Linked DNA regions of Danio rerio. The protein of the gene in region 4 interacts with the protein of the main gene of each other region in a pairwise test. Links are inferred from orthologs where the notes say so. Each region holds a gene or a part of one and is shown on either strand. Other genes may lie near its edges.

Region 1 (3,977 bases), on a different chromosome or scaffold from region 4:
GAAGAACAGAGGACAATCAAACAAATCAGAAACACAACCAAAAGAGGGCGCTATGCTGTTCCTTAGATCAGTTCTGGTGCATTACCCTACTGCTGCCCCATCAACTCATGTGTGTCCCTGGAGGGTTTTTGTATACTTGAAATTAATGATTTTTATTTTATGTATTATTTTTCTTTTTATTTGATTTATTTATTTCTCTCTCTTTCTCTAGAATATATAAAATAAATTAAATAAGCAGAACAAACTGATAATAAACATGAAGATTTTAAAACAAGATATTATTTAATTCTTTTTGCATTTGTCTTGTACATAGTAGATAAATAATTAGGTAATAACTAAGTGTAATGTAAATGTCTGCTCTATAAATTGTGTAATTTTTTCCATGTTTTAACAAACCAACAAATTAATGAAAGAAAGAAAGAAAAAAACATATAAGATAGAGATAATAAAACTGAAGCAAAAGAAAGGTGAATAAACCAGTTTATAGTAGCAACATATAAATATTCACTAATATATTCATTTAAATATTCCAAAAAATGTATTTAAGAATAACATTTTTAACAAATATTTTAAGTTATTTAAAGCTATGTTAATTTTTAATATTTAGAGCAGGACTTTCCCGCCCAACTTTTAGATGCCACAAACATTTTAATATCATTGCCCCCACATTAAAACATAAACATTTTTGTTAAAAAAAATTAAGGAAGTTACCTGAAGTTAATGTTTTGAAAACTGAAATTTTTTATTATTATATTCTTATTTGTTTTATTTTATTTTGATATATAATTTATTGTTTTATTTTATTTAAATAAAATATAATAATGTATTGTATGCTATTAAATATTTAATAATCGTTTAATTATTATGCTGTTTTATCAATTTGTTTCTGTTTCTCTTTTATTTTGTATTATAATGTGTGCTTATTATTTAAAAACTATATAGAATTATTTTAATCTTTTTAATTATTCAATTGCTATTTTTAATTATTAAAATCAAAATATTTTAATAGGTATATCACTCTCTTTTGTCCCTGGTAACCCATTCTGAAAGTTTGGCGCTAAATGAATGTTCGAAATGTTGGACTTTTCTCATAGATATTTATATAGCTATGGACTTTTATTATGAATTATCCTCTATGCTTTTTCCTGTTTAGGTCATCGTCAGTCCACTTTACGGCACGCTGTTTTCACTTTGCTGCATGCCTTTAAATACCTTCTAGTGTATTTGCTTGAATAATTGAGTTTATCTCAGATATACTCATTTCTTGTAATTTATACGATTAAAACATGAAAAATGCATTGTCAAATTTAATATAACACCATATCCGGCTTTTTAACCTTGACTGAATGGCTTATCACGCCTAAACTGTGGCATCAATACAAATACAAATTTACACACATAACGTTTAAAATATGCTACGAAATATATGTCGGTATCACACAAAGTTTGGCCAGGCAATTATTTGGCCGTTTTCATTTTCTTACGTGAAGCATGTTCCCAGTTTATCAACACAGCTACAAAAGGCAAAATATAGCAGTGCTACAGCAGGTAAGATATAAAAAGAAAAAAATAACTTAAAATGATAAACAAATATATTAATATCTTTGTACTTGCATTGTGTTTTGCAGAGAGGAAAAAGTTCTACGAGACTGTATCTATAACTCAAGGTGAAGGTGAGCATCATTCAGTACTGATGGCCATAACAGCACCTTAAAAGAAACATGTTTTCAATGATGAAGATCGAGGGTTTGCTCATATGAAAACACAGATTTTCTTGTTTATAGGTGGCTTGTTTGAAATAAACCTTGATAAGAGAAAGCTGAAGACCCCAAGTGGAAAACTATTCACAGTTCCCAATGAAGCTCTTGCCATTGCTGTTGCAAATGAGTGGGACGTTCAAAAGGACACATTGAAGTTTTACACTATGCACTTGGTAGGATATTATTTTTAATTTATATTATATTATTATTATTATACTATATTTTGGTTTCCCAAGTACTACTAGTATATTTGAAAGTTTTATTCTACAACTGTCTACAGAGTACATTCAAATGTATCTATAATACATACATAGTAGCATGGAACACATATTTTTATACACTCTTCAGAACTGAAACTTACAGTATTACAAGTCTACAAGACTAGTACCTTTATTTATACCCAAAATCTGTACTTTTTTGGTGTTTTTTCTTTTTAATTTTCTGCTGCAGACGATTCCATTCAAGAACCCCCTAAAAAGTACAGATTTTAGGTATAAATAAAACTGAAAGCTTAGTTTTTTTTTAAATTCTATTTTAATCATTTAAAAATTCTATTCAGTTAAAGGGGTAGTTCAGCCAAAAATTATAATTTGGTCAACAACAATACTCTGGGACTTTCTTTCATCTTTGGAACACAGATTAAGATATTTTAGATGGAATCTGAGAGCTCACTCACCCTTCATATAGACAGCAATGTACTTTTGTGCACACTTAAAGAAAAAATACTTACTTCATTCAGCGGTTTATCACCTCATTAGTAGGCCCACACGGAATATGCGTGTACAGAAATCTGCAGATTTCCGCAGATCTTTAGCCCATCATTCGGTGTATTTACTGTATTCACTTGTTTAATTGTGTGTGAATTTATATTTATTTAGTTTTTTTTTTTTTATTAATTTCACTAATATTATTGTGTTATAATAATAGTACTATTAAAATGTTCATATGATTTATTAACAATACAGTTAGTAATGTAATATTTTCTGTCTTTTTGTAGGTATATGATGTATTGCTTTCTTTACCAAATAGGTGGATGCAATTGGATTTGCACTGTAAACATTAAATAAAATTAAAAAATGTGTTGTTTTTTATTTAATATATTAATGCTGTAGTTATGATACTCCTAAAATCAATCTCTGCAGAAATTGCAAAAAATGTCTGCATATTGTGTCTTTTCCTATTCATTCATCTATGTTTCCATCCACCTATTTTTATGGTAATTTTGCAATATGCGCATAGAAAACCGGTTGATGAAAACGCCAAGATGCACATTTCATTTTGAAAAAGCTTAATGTGACTTTTCATTTTCATAAGGTTCCTTTTACAGCATCGATGTTTTACACTATCGATGCATTGATGACAAAACATTCAGTTAAATAGATACAAGCATTCATTTAGTTGTTCAACCATAAAACAAGATGAAAGATTGTGTAACCGCTAGCGCCATCAGGATCAGCAGGCGAGCGCAGAAACTCCTATACTGGGGTGAAATTAATTGTTATATTTTAAAGATATGACGGGGGAATAGAATTTAACGCAGTGCTTTTTGTCTGAGACTCATATATCTATATCTATCAGGCAGTGAAGGTCACTGATTAAAAAACAAACAAAAAAACTGACCTCAAACATGGCAACTTTATAATGGAAAGACGGAGGCCCTGTTAGGCTGAAATTAAAAGATTGTGTGCATATACCCCATTCTAAATAGTTATCGGTTATTGTTGTCGGTCAAAAATTCCAAATCGGTTCCACCCTATTAATAACATAATTTTCATTTTGGGGTGAACTGACCTTTTATGTAGTTAAAGATATTTGCATTTGCTCCTAGTTTTTTTTATTTATTTATCTATTTTTTATATGTTATTATTTGCATGTGTCTTTTTTCTTCACCTGGTTGTCATTTTAGATGAGAATTGGTTCTCTTAATTGATTTACCTGGTTAAATAAAGATATTTATTATTAAATACTAATGGATAATGTATCTAAAACATTGTCACAAGTACATATAAAATCAGTGTGTGTATATTCTGATAGTACATTCATTCCCAGTATTCCCAACATTCATAATGTTAAATGAATAGCAGAATCTAATAGACTGATTTCTGTCCCTACAGACCACCCTTTGTAACACTGCTCTTGATAATCCAACACAAAGGACAAAAGAACAGATGATCTCTGCCGCTCTGAAGTTTTTAGAAACAGACACTATCTGGTATG
Region 2 (2,645 bases), on a different chromosome or scaffold from region 4:
ATGGCCCTTTAAACAACAAAACACATTTATGCTTAAACTCCTCCAGCTTAAGTTAATTTTCTGAGAACAGCGTGATAACCAGCCTGAAAAAATTCTACAGTCATTTATAGAAAACACTATGGTGTTTTTCAACCATACTATAGCAAAATAACATAATTTATTTGTTGCCAATTCTATAGTTAGCATGGTAATACAACAACTATATTAGTTAGGTTTTTTCAAGCTATCAATATTATATTACTATACAGATTTACTGCAGTAAAAAATAAGGTATGCTGCAGCATTTAATACAGTTTATCTGTAGCATTTATTAGAAAATGTTGTAAATACTATAATATCCACAGTATAAATGCACTTAATTGTAGTATAAACTGTAAATTAATATAGTGTATTTCATATAGGATATATCTTGCAATTATTTGCCAGATATTACATCCCTTGCTGAATTTCAGCAGGGTATTACTCCTTCTGGGATTAAATAAAATCTATCAACAGGACCTGTGAACTTTTGCTGCTCAATTTTCATTTATTGCTCAAACAGGACAGAAATATCACTTTTTTTACACACAAAAACCAACAGTAATAGTCCACATAATGTTATCTTCACTGTGATCAAATAATAATTGTTTCTCCCAAAGCTTGCCCAGCCAGAACACTTTACGGTGTTGCAAGTAAAATGATTCATCATCTCTTCTGAAACATTTATCTACTGCTGGTGTTAAATTGGGAATAATAGCGCTCGTCTGGAATGTTGGTGTACACATCCTGAAGATGTTTCTTCCTGTGAATGGAAACAGTGTTACACAATGATAAACAGAAATAACATTCACAAAACTAATTACAGTATTTTGGTAATTTTTAAAAATCTAGAAAAAAAAAAAAAAAAAATATATATATATATATATATATATATATATATATATATATATATATATATATATATATATATATATATTTGTATATTTATTTGTATATTTATTTGTATATATATATTTTTTTACTTAATATATATTAGTCAACCAAAATCAATTTAACCCACCGAGCATCATGGATATGAGCCAGCTGTGAGTTGGAATTGTCCATTGCTCTGCGCAGCTCCTTATTAATGCGTGCTTGTTGTCTTTCCAGCAGCAATGCAGCACGAGCTGAGCTCATGCGTTCCTGATGTTCCTGAAGATCCTTCTGTCGTTGTTCCATGTTGGCTCGCTGCACAGATTTATTCGACTTTTAACATTTAAATGTATCTGAATTACTGGAGTAAAAATGGATAATGGAGATAATGGAGTAAAAAAAAGTTTTGGAACAGCATAAAGTGTGATGTACTTTGTAATACACATGTGCAAAATAGTCATACTTCTTTAGTCAAAATATTTAAAAAAAAATGTGTAGATTACTTGTTAAGTTACAATATATTCAACTTAAGTGGTGGAGAGGTTTATTTTAGCTTTTACACAGCTAGTTAACCTAGTTTTCCCCTGAGTTGTGTTGTGGATAAAATATAGGATAAGTTTTAATTATACATCACAAATGGGTCCTACAGAGATGTATTTAACATAACATATATAAAAACACAGGCAGGAATTAATATCAACATCTGCATTAACAGGTTATTTTTCAGATCCTTTAATCTGCATCACTTTTAACTTCAGAAAAATGACTGAATCCCTCATGAAGAGCTGAGGGATATGACATAAACATGCTTTAAACATTTATACTCTGTGGTCAACATGTGTTTGTTGCCTCATTTCGACCATTTGCAAGGAGTTTCACAATATACACGTTAAACTAACAAATATACATTTAAACATATTTTACACCTCTTTGGGGAATAATTTAACATATTATAATTTGTATATTCCACTCCATGTGCTCCGTGGCCATGCATGAAGCTGCTTACTCTTCCCTAAATCCTATCCAGTTTTCAAAATAAGAGTCCCGTATACATAGGAAGGCCCAATACTAATTCTACGCCTTAGCCCTTATTCTATATTCTATATACAGTTGAAGTCAGAATTATTAGCCCTCCCCATTTTAATTTTTTTCTTTTTTTAAATATTTCCCAAATTATGTTTAACAGGGCAAAGAAAAATTCACAGTATGTCTGATAATATTTTTTTTTTCTTCTGGAGAAAGTCTTATATGTTTTATTTCGGCTAAAATACAAGCAGTTATTAATTTTTCAAACAGCATTTTAAGGACAAAATTATTAGCCATTTTAAGCTTAATTATTTTCAATAGTCAACAGAACAAACCATCGTTATACAATGACTTGCCTAATTACCCTAACCTGCCTAGTTAACCCAATTAACCTAGTTAAGCCTTTAAATGTCACTTTAAGTTGTATAAAAGTATCTTGAAAAATATCTAGTCAAATGTTATTTACTGTCATCATGGCAAGATAAAATAAATCAGTTATTAGAAATGAGTTATTAAAACTATTATTTTTTATAATGTGTTGAAAAAAATCTCTCCTTTAAACAGAAATTGGGAAAAAAAAATAAACAGGGGGGCTAATAATTATGACTTCAGCTGTATGTAGTTGGTGTATTCTTGGTTTCTAGTGTGGTCCTTTAAAATCTCCAGCTCTTCCCTTTAGCCCGACACCCTCAAACTAAGGAGAATTGGGAAACCCCTACCTCTACCCC
Region 3 (3,425 bases), on a different chromosome or scaffold from region 4:
TACTAATTAAGAATTTACCTCTTTTTTACAATTGTTTTTACAATTGTGGAAATAACAGCATAATCGAATTTCATTTAAAATTTAATTCACAAACCTTAAGGACCTGTTTGTTTTTAAGTACCTTCTAAAAGTGTGGGAAGCTTGTTTTAGTAAAAAAAAAAAAAAAAAAAACTGCAACAAATAGATGACGTGTAATGTACAAAACAATTTGATGTGAGAAGAGTTTAAGAAAAAAAGTTTAAAAACCAGTAAATACGTATTATAATAATAAATTATAAATGTATGTTTACAGCAGTTCAATAGTTATTCGTTTCCATATTTACAGACTTAACAGTGACTTATGGAAAATAATCTAAATATATACTTTACATAAGTTTTTGGAGGACAAATAAAACATCTAAAGTCAACATAAAAAAGTGTGTCTAGCCATACTGATACTTAGATTAAAACAGACATTAATTACCTTTTTAATGGTTACATGCATCTAAAACCAGTTTTTAGAGATTATATTTATTATTCTTGGTGTATTCATCTCTTCCAAAACAGACATGAATGCGCATTATACGGTTCACTGCACCAAATTGAAGACTACATAATTGACAATCTTAACATCATTGTGAACAAAAACTTCAATAGTACAGATCAAATAATACAGAACAATGTTGCTATCTTTACGCACTTGCTCAAAGGCAAACCCAATTACTGTGGTACCACTGTTCTCCACAATTAGCACAGGTCATAAAAGTCATAGAATCATTATCTGCACTGCCACTCTGCACCCAGGATGGCAAGAAAAGAGTCCCTCGTGAGATTTGAGTCACCCTGCAATCCATACTGTCACATTGCCTGCAGCGAACTTTATTGGTAGGGGTGCCTTCAACTGTTTCTGGCAACTGATGCTCACTGATGGCCAAATTAGTGTAAGTTTCTCTGAGCTGTCGAAGTTTCTCACCTGCCATTTCCTCTACAGACATCTGGGCAAATGCATCTGGAGTCAGTTGTCCTGAAATAAGGCCTTGGCGTAGGTGGGGGTTGTTTGGGTTCTTTAGGTTGGCAACCTTGCTCCTAATATGAAACTTGAACTTATGCTGGTTTCGTCCATGAAGAGCATGAACATGCAACTCAATGTTCTCAGCAAGGGCTTTGAGCTTGTTCATATGACCTGGGTCTGTTTGTTGGTTTGTGCCAAGAGCCTGAAGAATCAGATGGACACATTTGGATCTCAGTGCTGTAGAGTCACAGTTAGTTGTGTGCTGATTTGTGTTTTGAGGAACTGAGGTTTGAGCACCTTCCTCTGCATCAGATCTATTTGATTCCACGGCTGGAGTGAGGCTCTCTTGCTCAAGCTGTGGCTGGAGAGATTCTGCAGATTCAGTTGCTATACAAAGTTTTTTAGAAGATGCATTAAAGCATACATTATTACATTTTCCCTGGTTTGCATCCTTTGTTATATCAAGCTGCTTTGTGTTACATGCTTGACTCTCGTTCACTTTTTCATGTAAGGGCTGAAATCCATTGGTTAAAAATGGAAATCCCAATGGTAACTCAACATTAGACATGTTATGCGTCTCTGACTCTCTGTTTGGCGTCTCTAATTCCTTGTCCTCCCGTGTGTTTTTGTCATTATTTTTGAGTAATATTGCATGTGACAAATTGTACAACTTCTTCCATTTTGTCAGCAAGCTTTTTGCTTTTGTTTTAGCACTCAAAACAGGACAGGACTTAAGCAGTCTGTAAAGAACTTTTACAATATCTGTTGTCTGAATCTGCTCTAACGTGACAGAAGTGATGTCGAGTTCAGTCAGTAATGATATAACATCTTCATAACTGCCGTCCTCGTGCAACCTTTCGATTTGTGTAGCATAATATATGATCTCTCTAGTATGCATGACGTCTTCGAAATTAAGGAAAATTAAGGAGTAGCGTTACACCTGGAAAATACTGTTCTTGAAGAATCCGAAGCGTTAGCTTAGTTTTCAAGCGTAATAAAAATATGTCCGCTAACGTTATCTGAATTGCAGACAAACACGTATCTTCTTTATTAACTAAGCAGTAAAACATTTTTTACAAAGTCGCTACTTCTACAGCCATGTATTTCATCAACGCAATGCAGTTGTTGTTGTTGTTCTTCTTCTTCTTCTTGCAAACTTTGGCAGCTTTACTGAATTTCCGCCACCTAGTGGGGAGGAGGGTGAGGGGTTGATATAGAAAGGAATACAGAAATAGACCAAAGCAAAGAAATGGGGGGAAAAGAAAATGGTAAGCTATTTAATCAAATACATAAATTAAACTTGTCTAAGTAACAATGTCTTTTAAGATACTTTAGGTATACTTTAGTTTTTATTAAATTAACATCTTTAGTTATTAAATTTATTAATTCATTCACTAATTTTCCTTCAGCTTAGTCCTATTATTCATCTGGGCTTGACACAGCAGAATGAACTGCCAACTTATCCAATATATGTTTTACACAGCTAATACAGCACCTATACACCTCATAGCTTATACACCAAGTGCATGTCTTTTTCTGTGGGACAAAACTGAAGCACTCGGAGGAAACCCACGCCAACACAGGAAATACATGAAAACTCCACACAGAAATGCCAACGGACTCGAACTGGGACTCAAACCAGTGACCTTCTTGCAAGGAGGCGACTGTGCTACCCGCTGCGCCACCGAGTTGCCCGTTTATTTATTTAGTTATTCAATTTATTACTTCTTTAGTGTTAGATTTAAACTTCCTGCATTCTTCATTTCCTCCATAAGCTGAGATCTTTCCTCATTATAACTATGACAATTAAAATAACACGCTCAACTAATTTTGGATTTCCACATATACTCCACATACCTGTATCGTGTTTGCCAATTTCAAACAGTGATTGGTTTAATGCAGTGAGCCCAATTCGGAGGCATGAGATTGTCATCCCTTCTTTTGTCACAAACCTGTCATACCCAACTTACCTCATTATTTGATACAATTGTCTTCCCCTTTCTTCCTGAGTCCATGTCTGTCGCCATCTTTTTTTTACTGACTTTAATTAAACCCTACATTTCAGATTTGCCCAATGGGACATTAACATTTTAGAGAGTATACTTTAGTGCTTTCTTTGCCAACTCGCACACTATTTCATACTTTATACTTTAACTCCCAAGTGATATATTCTGTACAGAGTCTGGAATATTTCAATAAGAATGTCCTGTCTTGCTAGATACTTTTTTCTTTTTCTTTTTAATTAACAATGCTTAAACAATAACAGAAAAGCTTTAATACTTTTTTTTTTTTTAATTTACACAAAAAGACTGAGATGACAATCAATTTGCATTCACAATCTTTTCATTCACAATCTTTTCATTCACATTAATAATAACAATACACCATAAATAAATAAATAAATGAATGAATGAATAAATAAATAAATAACAAA
Region 4 (3,521 bases):
GGTCATTCAACCAGCTTTATTTTGTTTTTCTGAAAGCATTTGAGAGTTTCCTTGGCTGTGCTTTGGATCATTGATTTGCTGAAATGTTTATCCTGGTTTAATCTTCATTGTCCTAATATAGTTGTTAGACTGAAGCAGCTAATATTCATTTACAATGATGAAGGGCAGAAAATTGCTGAAAAATACTGAGTTATTTCAGCTGCTGGCTGGACTTTCACTGCATTTCTACAGCTCCCTTTATTCATGTGTTCAGTACTTTTTCCCTGCGTCATTTTATTTTGTTTTGCATAACTTAATTTGTAAACTAGATTTGTTTTTTGATTTGTAATTTGAAAAGTAGATTTGTTTTATTTGCATATATGGATTTCTTTGGTCGCTACCAACATCACAATTTAATTCAAGTCAACCCTATGTTTAGAAATATTTTTTTGGGTAAAAATTATGATCAATTCTTTTGTAAAATTGTGTTCAATGCTTATTTTCCCAGCTAAAGTCTTTTGAATCGGTATGCATGGCTACTAGATGAAAACACTACTGTTATAACCACTCCGAAACTAAATATGAAACCACGATTTTTATAATTCTTGATCAACCTATTAGCCTATGCGGTTTCTTTTGATGCGTAAATAAAACCTATAATGGCATATAGTATTACTTTTAACACAGACAAGTCGTTCTATGTCAGCAGCTGGTTTGTTAGAAAAATCAACTGTAAAGAAGATCATTTCCGTAAATGTATGCACTGAATTAGCCTACATATTACTTTTGTTTTAAAAGAACTTTAATGATTAAATAAAACTGTCATGATTTTAAAAAGCACTGAATGCTATATTTCATCAACTAATTTAAAATAGATTAATATGTTGATGCACAATACGCACAATATATGTTTGCATTCACTGTTTTATTTGCATGTTGATTATGACATATTAAATTTAAACTGCAATAGTTTTGGATTTTGTTTATTGTAGTCTTGTAGAGACTACAATGACCTATAAATAATAAATTAAACAATAAAAAAATAACAAAATTAGCTGATAAAAAAATTATTACAGTTTAGTTAATTAAAATACAGAGCCAAGTAAATCACTGTTAAATAAAAAAGCTATTTTGTTTTTTTTTCCCCTGCTGTATCCATATATTACTAAAGTACGTGCTAAACAGTCATGTTTGTGCCCTGTTGCACCCTAAACAGACTGATGAATATTGTCTCAAATGTAAGGTTAAAGTATAACAACTCAAAATGTAATTCACAAACAATAAAATGACAGCAGATAAAAATGGAATTGAAACTTTTTATGAATTCTTTGCACTTTAGCTATCAAAACATTGTTCAGTGAGAAAAACTAATATTCAGGGATTTGCCAATATTTACATTAAACAGTTCTGTTTCTTTTTTAATGATCCACTAAAATTATTAGATGAAAGAAACAGGGAAATTTGCATCCCACACACTAGTATACAATGTCAACTCATTTAATCCTTAAATACGTGTTTATGTACAAATCTGAATGTGCTGCTCGAATGTGCTTTGATTATCTAACCTCGTCCAATGTCCCGGCCCTCCATGTCTTTAAGGACAACCGTTCGCCCTCTGGCAACAAGCACAGCATCACCTTCCCAGCGCTTATGCTTCCTTGAAGAGGCCTTGCACCATATAACACTATAGTAGTGAGCTTTAAAATAAACAGATAATGAATCAGCAGCGATAACACAACATAATAATAGCCTAAATCAAACATAATGCTTAGTTACTGTGCAGTTATTATATTCATAAACTAGAAATGTGCCTATATACTGTATAAACTGATCAGGCATGTTTAAATGAGATCAAAACTGTTACATAGGTCACAACTTAATCATATATACAATTTTTAAATTAATGTGCCCTCAAAATTATTAATTAAACAAATCCAACAGTAATCAAATCCAATTCCTAATGGACTAATTTAGTCTTGCCCGACAGTTGGTCTCAGCTTAGAAGCTATTTACTGTAAGTCTGACAAACCTAATAACAAAAGAGGAAAATACAGTAGTAATATTACCTATTATGCTGTGAATAAGCATTCAAATGAAGCTAACACAAACTGTTTGATTTAGAAGACTCTCATTCATTGCTGTTGCTACGTAACAACCAAAGAATAAAAGCCCATCTCAAACCACAGAGATTAAAGCATTTATGAATTTATTATCAAACACATACAAAATCCAATTGAATTCTCTCATCCACACATTAAAAACATACAATTCTGCTACAAATATCACAAACAATCCTCATACTGAATAAAAAAAAACTGTACAAACAAGAAACAACTGTACAAACAGCATTTTAAATTAACATTTTATGGCTCCCTTTTTGACGTACTTTCAAAAGTGAGACAGTGTACAAAATCACATCAATGGCAATCCTTGCCGCAGCCTGGCAGCTCTCAGTTTCTCCACTTTAACTCTTGACCGGAGTAGCTCCTCCTCCAGCTGCTGCTTTCTCTTAAGCCCCTCCCTCTTCTCCTCTATATATAAACCAAGCTTCCTATGATTGGCCAGAAGCAACTCGTGCTCCTCTCGCATCATCTGCAAAGCCTCTGCCTCAAACGCAGGATCCTTGAATGCTGTCCTCGCCGTGTGATAGGCGCTCCTTCTGGGCCCGTGTGCCAGCGGCGACGGTGGCAGGTGTACAGAGGATGGGCATGGAGAAAGAGAGGCAGCATAAACATGGGAGGCCAATTCCTCTTCCTCCTCGTCTACCTCGTCTTCCACTACTTCACTGTCCCTTTCATTTTGGCCATGGTGGGCTTGGCTGCTCGGGGTGGCGATGGTGATGGGTGACCCGTGGGATGTAATCAGGTGGATATCCGGAGGCGGTTTCACATCCTCAGTCTCCACTCGAACAGCTGTGACTGGAGGATAGTCGGACAGCGCTGGGATGGACAGACTGCTGCCCGGCTGTTCTACAGGAGAGTTTCTTTTGAACTGAAGCCTAAAACAGACACATACACATGCTTCATTAATAATAGACATAAATATGGTAAATTTGAACAGTTCTTTAAAATTGTGATTGAAAGCTCAATTGTTAATCTAAGGCAGTGGTTCCCAAAGTTGGGGTTGGGACAAAGAGGAGGGGTCACTTGGCGATTTCCAAAAATCTAATTCATTTTATTAAACTATTAGAAGTACCATACTTCATCTATAAGCTACAAAAGAACAAAATTAATAGTAACACTGTTAACATGTTAAGAATATACATTAAAAACAACTTGCAGATAAATAGTCATCAGTCTTTCACATTTTTTTTTGTGCCCTCTGGGGTGATTACATTATATAATATGTATATTGAAACCTCTACAGCACTCACATCGATTAAAAATAAAAACAGGCCACAACTGAACATGGAGGATGGCCTCCGAGTGGCCTTCTCCAAAATTAAACAATGAATAGACTTGGGCCGATAGACCATTTTGAGGGATGTAAACAATAACAATGGTCCCAACGGATTTCCTGTTTTACATGCATAATTTCTATAG
Region 5 (4,288 bases), on a different chromosome or scaffold from region 4:
TTCTATTCTGAATCATCCACCCTATGCCCTTGTCCATTTGAACACAAATACTCTGAATCATTTAAAAACATTAAAGGTTGTCTTGTTCACATTTTATATTAAAGTTATTCTTATTACAGTTCAGTTTATAAACTTCAAATTGACAACTGTGCTATCTCCATAGTGCACTCCCATAACATTTATGCCATTTTAAACGCAGCAGTGACTCGTGAAGAAAGCTACATTTACAATCAAAAACCTGTTTACACACTTCCAGCAACTGTTAAAACAAACATTTAAGGTAATGATTTTAACTTGTATAGAAAATTGATCTCTAATATACTGTAAAAATGCTATGGTCCACACATTTCTTTTACATGGCCCATCATAAATTGATTAAACTTAATTTTTTTTCATAAATTTAAGTGGGCTTAACTTAAAACAATTAAGTTGTCCTCAAGAACACAAGTTTCAGCTAATTATATATAAGTACTTTGAACAAGCCGCAAAAGTCTTTTTTTTTAGTGTATATGATATATGCAACATTTCTGCAGTGGTTTGAGTGTTTATAAAACTGTAATAGTAATTTATTTAAATACAAAAATATACTTTTGTAAAATGTAATTTCTGAAACATGTAACTTTATAAGCAACAGATAAATATAAATATATTTTTTACATCTTTGACCATATACATATATATATATATATATATATATATATATATATATATATTTCAGAATTAGATTGCATGTCATTATATAATGGGTTTATGTTTTATTTATAATAGCAGAGAGTATGATATGGAATATTGTCAATAATATTTGTAAAAGAAAGTAAATACTTGTGTCGTTGCGTTTCATTTAAGAAAGCAGAGATAAAGAAAAGCCGAGGCAAGCAAACTAAATGTTTATTACCAAAACTCATAATGGGTAAAAATATATATATATATCCTGTGTGTAACAATATTTTCTGTACCAAAACTAAAAGCATCTATTAATGTGAATTTCCTCTTAATAAATTGTTACTCCACCCCCTTTAGATGATCATTACAGACGTTTTATGTTTTAACTAACATGGTTCAAATAATTGATCTGAAAGAGAGAATAAACTGTCCAGGGGTCTCATTTATAAACATGGTATACACAAAATTGGGGGTGGAAACACGTGTACGCCACTTCTTATACAGGTTATTATGATCTATAAAAAACAAACTTGACGGGAGAATGTGCGCAGCTTTAAGTAAACACATTTCGCTTAAATATTGACTTAATTCAAGCACTTTAAATCATCATAAAAGCCATAATAATTAATAAATAAATAAAAATGTATTCTGGTGTACATTCACTTTTAGGAAAGTTTCTATGCAATGTTTTATAAATGAGACCTCAGGAACCTTAACTGAAACATACACAACTATTTAAACATTGTTTTTTGTTTCGGCAATGACGCATTAATTTGATCACAGTTAAGATTTTTACAGTGTTAGTGTATTTCTATTTGTAACAATACTCACAATAATACAGATTTTATGCATTTTTGATTGAATAAAAGTAGCATTAGTGCGTTTTTTAAAAATCCTACCCACCCCCCAAAACCTCTGAATGGTAGTGTAGATTTATCGTTATCCCTCATAAATGGAAAAACTGACTCACCTGTCTCTGACTGTAGGATTCCTTCAGCTTCTTTAAATGTGTCGTCATCTTCACTTTAAAGTGAATTTCACTGTTGTCCTGCGAAATGAAAGGAAATCATCAAATCTGTTCAGATCTTTTCATATATCTCATTATAAAAGAACAGCTGGATTGGTTTTAAACAGTAATGGGTTTAAATATGAAAACCTGCATTTCCTAGAAAACAAGTGCTTTTGCTCACCTGACCGATCACTTTGAGTTTAATGTACTCTCCATCCTTCTTCTCGCCTCCATCACTTGAGGGCTTGGTCTCCTATTAAAACAAAACAAGCATTCGATTACTGCATGTCATATTGTTTTTTTATCAGATTTAATGTAATGAATTAAAAAAATATCTTGGGACTGAATTCAATAAAATATTGACTGAAGATCGTATAAAATAAGGTAGATCCGATTTTAATAAATTATAATTATATATATATATATATATATATATATATATATATATATATATATATATATATATATATATTATATATAAAATAATATTGTGAGTGTTGTTATCATTTAAACACTAGGCTGTGTGTGTGTGTGTGTGTGCTTTGAATGTAAACACACAACCTAACGTTACTCTTCTATCGCGAGCTGTTAATACGAGCACAAACCGAACACAAACTAACGTGAACAAATAACGAATAATCCTAATGAACATATCAAAAAATCAACAATTAATAACTAATTCAAATGTTCAGCATGGTCTATCAGCTCAAGATATTATGAACTCTGCTTTCAGGGCCCAGAGCAGCTAACTAGCACACATGCTAATTGGACGATTTGAGGAAGAAATTCACATATTTTTGGCATTTGTGAACACAGTAAATTGGACTAATGTGTAAATTGCGAGAACCAGAAACTATGCACAGTTAAAAACACTCAAGCATTTTTATCAAAAATACTTTCCAAACCACAGTCAGCTAGACAGGCTAAAAGCTGGGCCCTCTTATTTTCATTTTCTATAAGTCCGTCTTTCTCGTCTGCTCTCATGAAAGTTCGATTCAGCATCACAGGTTTAGACTCACCGTGTCTGACATGATATTCCGCAATGTGCAGCCCTTCTGTAGATCAAGATTGTTTGATTTAAACGATACAGTGTTATGTACAGTAATGAGAGGTTTTGATAGTGCTACCAGCAGACCCACAACACAGCGCCGTTGACGTCATTGGAAAGGGGCTGGACTTTCTATGACACTGGGTCGATGACCCAACGAGCGTTGTTTTTCTCACCACGCTCTTTCTGATTGGCTCCAATCGCCATCTGCGATGTTGCTATTGGTAAAACATAGGGAGGCCCGTATTTTGCAAAAAAAAAAAAAAAAAAAACACATCAGTATTTTGGTCACGAAATATTAGAGTGCAAAAATAATGTGACAACTACACTACACCTCTGGAGGACGAAACCTGCAAAAGCAACAAATAAATAAATACGCAAATAAATAAATTAATTAACACATGTACAAATTCCTTCATAAATAAAACAGTAAATAAATACGCAAATAAATAAATAAATAAATGACTAAATATATACACAAGTTCCTACATAAATAAAATAATTAATAAATAACTACACGAATAAATGAATAAATACTCAAATCCCTGTGTAAATAAAACAATAAATAAATAAATACACAAAAAATAAATAAATACAAATTCTTGCATAAATAAAACAATAAATAAATAAATACACAAATAAATTAATAAATAAATAGACAAATTCCTGCATAAATAAAACAATAAATAAACATGCTAAATAAATAAACAAATGTACAAAATAAATACACAAATTAAAAAGATAAAAAATAAAAAGCAATGAATAAATAAAGTAAATAAATAAAGCAATAAATAAATAAAACAATAAATTAATATGCAAATAAAAAATCAATTAGTTAATAAATTCGCAAATTCCTGCATAAATAAAACAATAAATCGTTTATTTTATGTATTTATAACTTTTAATGCCATAGATTTTAAAAAAGACATTAAGACTAATTCAGTGGATCAAAGGTAATATAAAAAATCTGTATAATGTTACTGAACATTTTATTTCAAATACAGTTTCTTCTGAGAATTTTAGAAAGCTGAATGTATTGTGTATTTAACAGAAATATCAAGCAGAATTATTATTAATCATAGAGCACCAAGTAAAATTGACCATAACAAATTCTGAACTCTCATTGGAATATTAAACATATTTACATACAACAATACAGATATTTAAAATTGAAATAATATTTCATATTATAATTGTTTATTCATCTTTTTGTCTAAAACATTTAAATATCTTTTTTTTTTACAAAACTTTTGTTTAGTATATTATTATTATCATCATCATCATCATCATCATCATCATCATCATCATCATCATCATCATCATCATCATCCTCATTATTTGGAATATGACATTATCCAAAATATTGTCTCTACACACTTTGAATATAAAACTCGAAAACTGAAAATCAACACGAGGTGATGGTGCATGAAAATGAGGCTGAGACTACTGCACATGCGCACATTTCACTGGCAGTATTGCGCATGCTCGTCCTGTCCCATGTGCGCCTCGTGGAGAGAGCGACTTCTTGTAGCGGAAGGCTCTCGGTCTCGGGAGCTCGACCTTAAACT

The links.
Region 1: the proteins of rad54b (region 4) and atpaf2 interact in a two-hybrid assay, tested with the Homo sapiens proteins (2 studies listed by BioGRID). The two-hybrid records come from large-scale screens. The link is inferred for Danio rerio from reciprocal best matches to the Homo sapiens genes RAD54B and ATPAF2.
Region 2: the proteins of rad54b (region 4) and ribc2 interact in a two-hybrid assay, tested with the Homo sapiens proteins (2 studies listed by BioGRID and IntAct). The two-hybrid records come from large-scale screens. The link is inferred for Danio rerio from reciprocal best matches to the Homo sapiens genes RAD54B and RIBC2.
Region 3: the proteins of rad54b (region 4) and tceanc interact in a two-hybrid assay, tested with the Homo sapiens proteins (2 studies listed by BioGRID). The two-hybrid records come from large-scale screens. The link is inferred for Danio rerio from reciprocal best matches to the Homo sapiens genes RAD54B and TCEANC.
Region 5: the proteins of rad54b (region 4) and sumo1 interact in a two-hybrid assay, tested with the Homo sapiens proteins (2 studies listed by BioGRID and IntAct). The two-hybrid records come from large-scale screens. The link is inferred for Danio rerio from reciprocal best matches to the Homo sapiens genes RAD54B and SUMO1.

Annotation. Positions count from the first base shown.
Region 1 is NC_133187.1:20,034,779-20,038,755, reverse strand, and holds the start of atpaf2 (ATP synthase mitochondrial F1 complex assembly factor 2), read left to right. Parts: upstream 1-1,168; 5' UTR 1,169-1,412; coding exon 1,413-1,548; intron 1,549-1,628; coding exon 1,629-1,673; intron 1,674-1,784; coding exon 1,785-1,933; intron 1,934-3,874; coding exon 3,875-3,972; intron 3,973-3,977. UniProt on the Homo sapiens protein: Plays a role in the assembly of the F1 component of the mitochondrial ATP synthase (ATPase).
Region 2 is NC_133200.1:17,680,244-17,682,888, forward strand, and holds the end of ribc2 (RIB43A-like with coiled-coils protein 2), read right to left. Parts: intron 1,207-2,645; coding exon 1,040-1,206; intron 782-1,039; coding exon 703-781; 3' UTR 511-702; downstream 1-510. UniProt on the Homo sapiens protein: Microtubule inner protein (MIP) part of the dynein-decorated doublet microtubules (DMTs) in cilia axoneme, which is required for motile cilia beating.
Region 3 is NC_133176.1:39,100,112-39,103,536, reverse strand, and holds tceanc (transcription elongation factor A N-terminal and central domain-containing protein), read right to left. Parts: upstream 2,135-3,425; 5' UTR 1,890-2,134; coding exon 684-1,889; 3' UTR 510-683; downstream 1-509.
Region 4 is NC_133191.1:29,865,127-29,868,647, reverse strand, and holds part of rad54b (DNA repair and recombination protein RAD54B), read right to left. Parts: intron 1,677-3,521; coding exon 1,545-1,676; intron 1-1,544. UniProt on the Homo sapiens protein: Involved in DNA repair and mitotic recombination. May play an active role in recombination processes in concert with other members of the RAD52 epistasis group.
Region 5 is NC_133181.1:10,603,132-10,607,419, reverse strand, and holds the start of sumo1 (small ubiquitin-related modifier 1), read right to left. Parts: upstream 2,806-4,288; 5' UTR 2,704-2,805; coding exon 2,692-2,703; intron 1,926-2,691; coding exon 1,854-1,925; intron 1,712-1,853; coding exon 1,634-1,711; intron 1-1,633. UniProt on the Homo sapiens protein: Ubiquitin-like protein that can be covalently attached to proteins as a monomer or a lysine-linked polymer.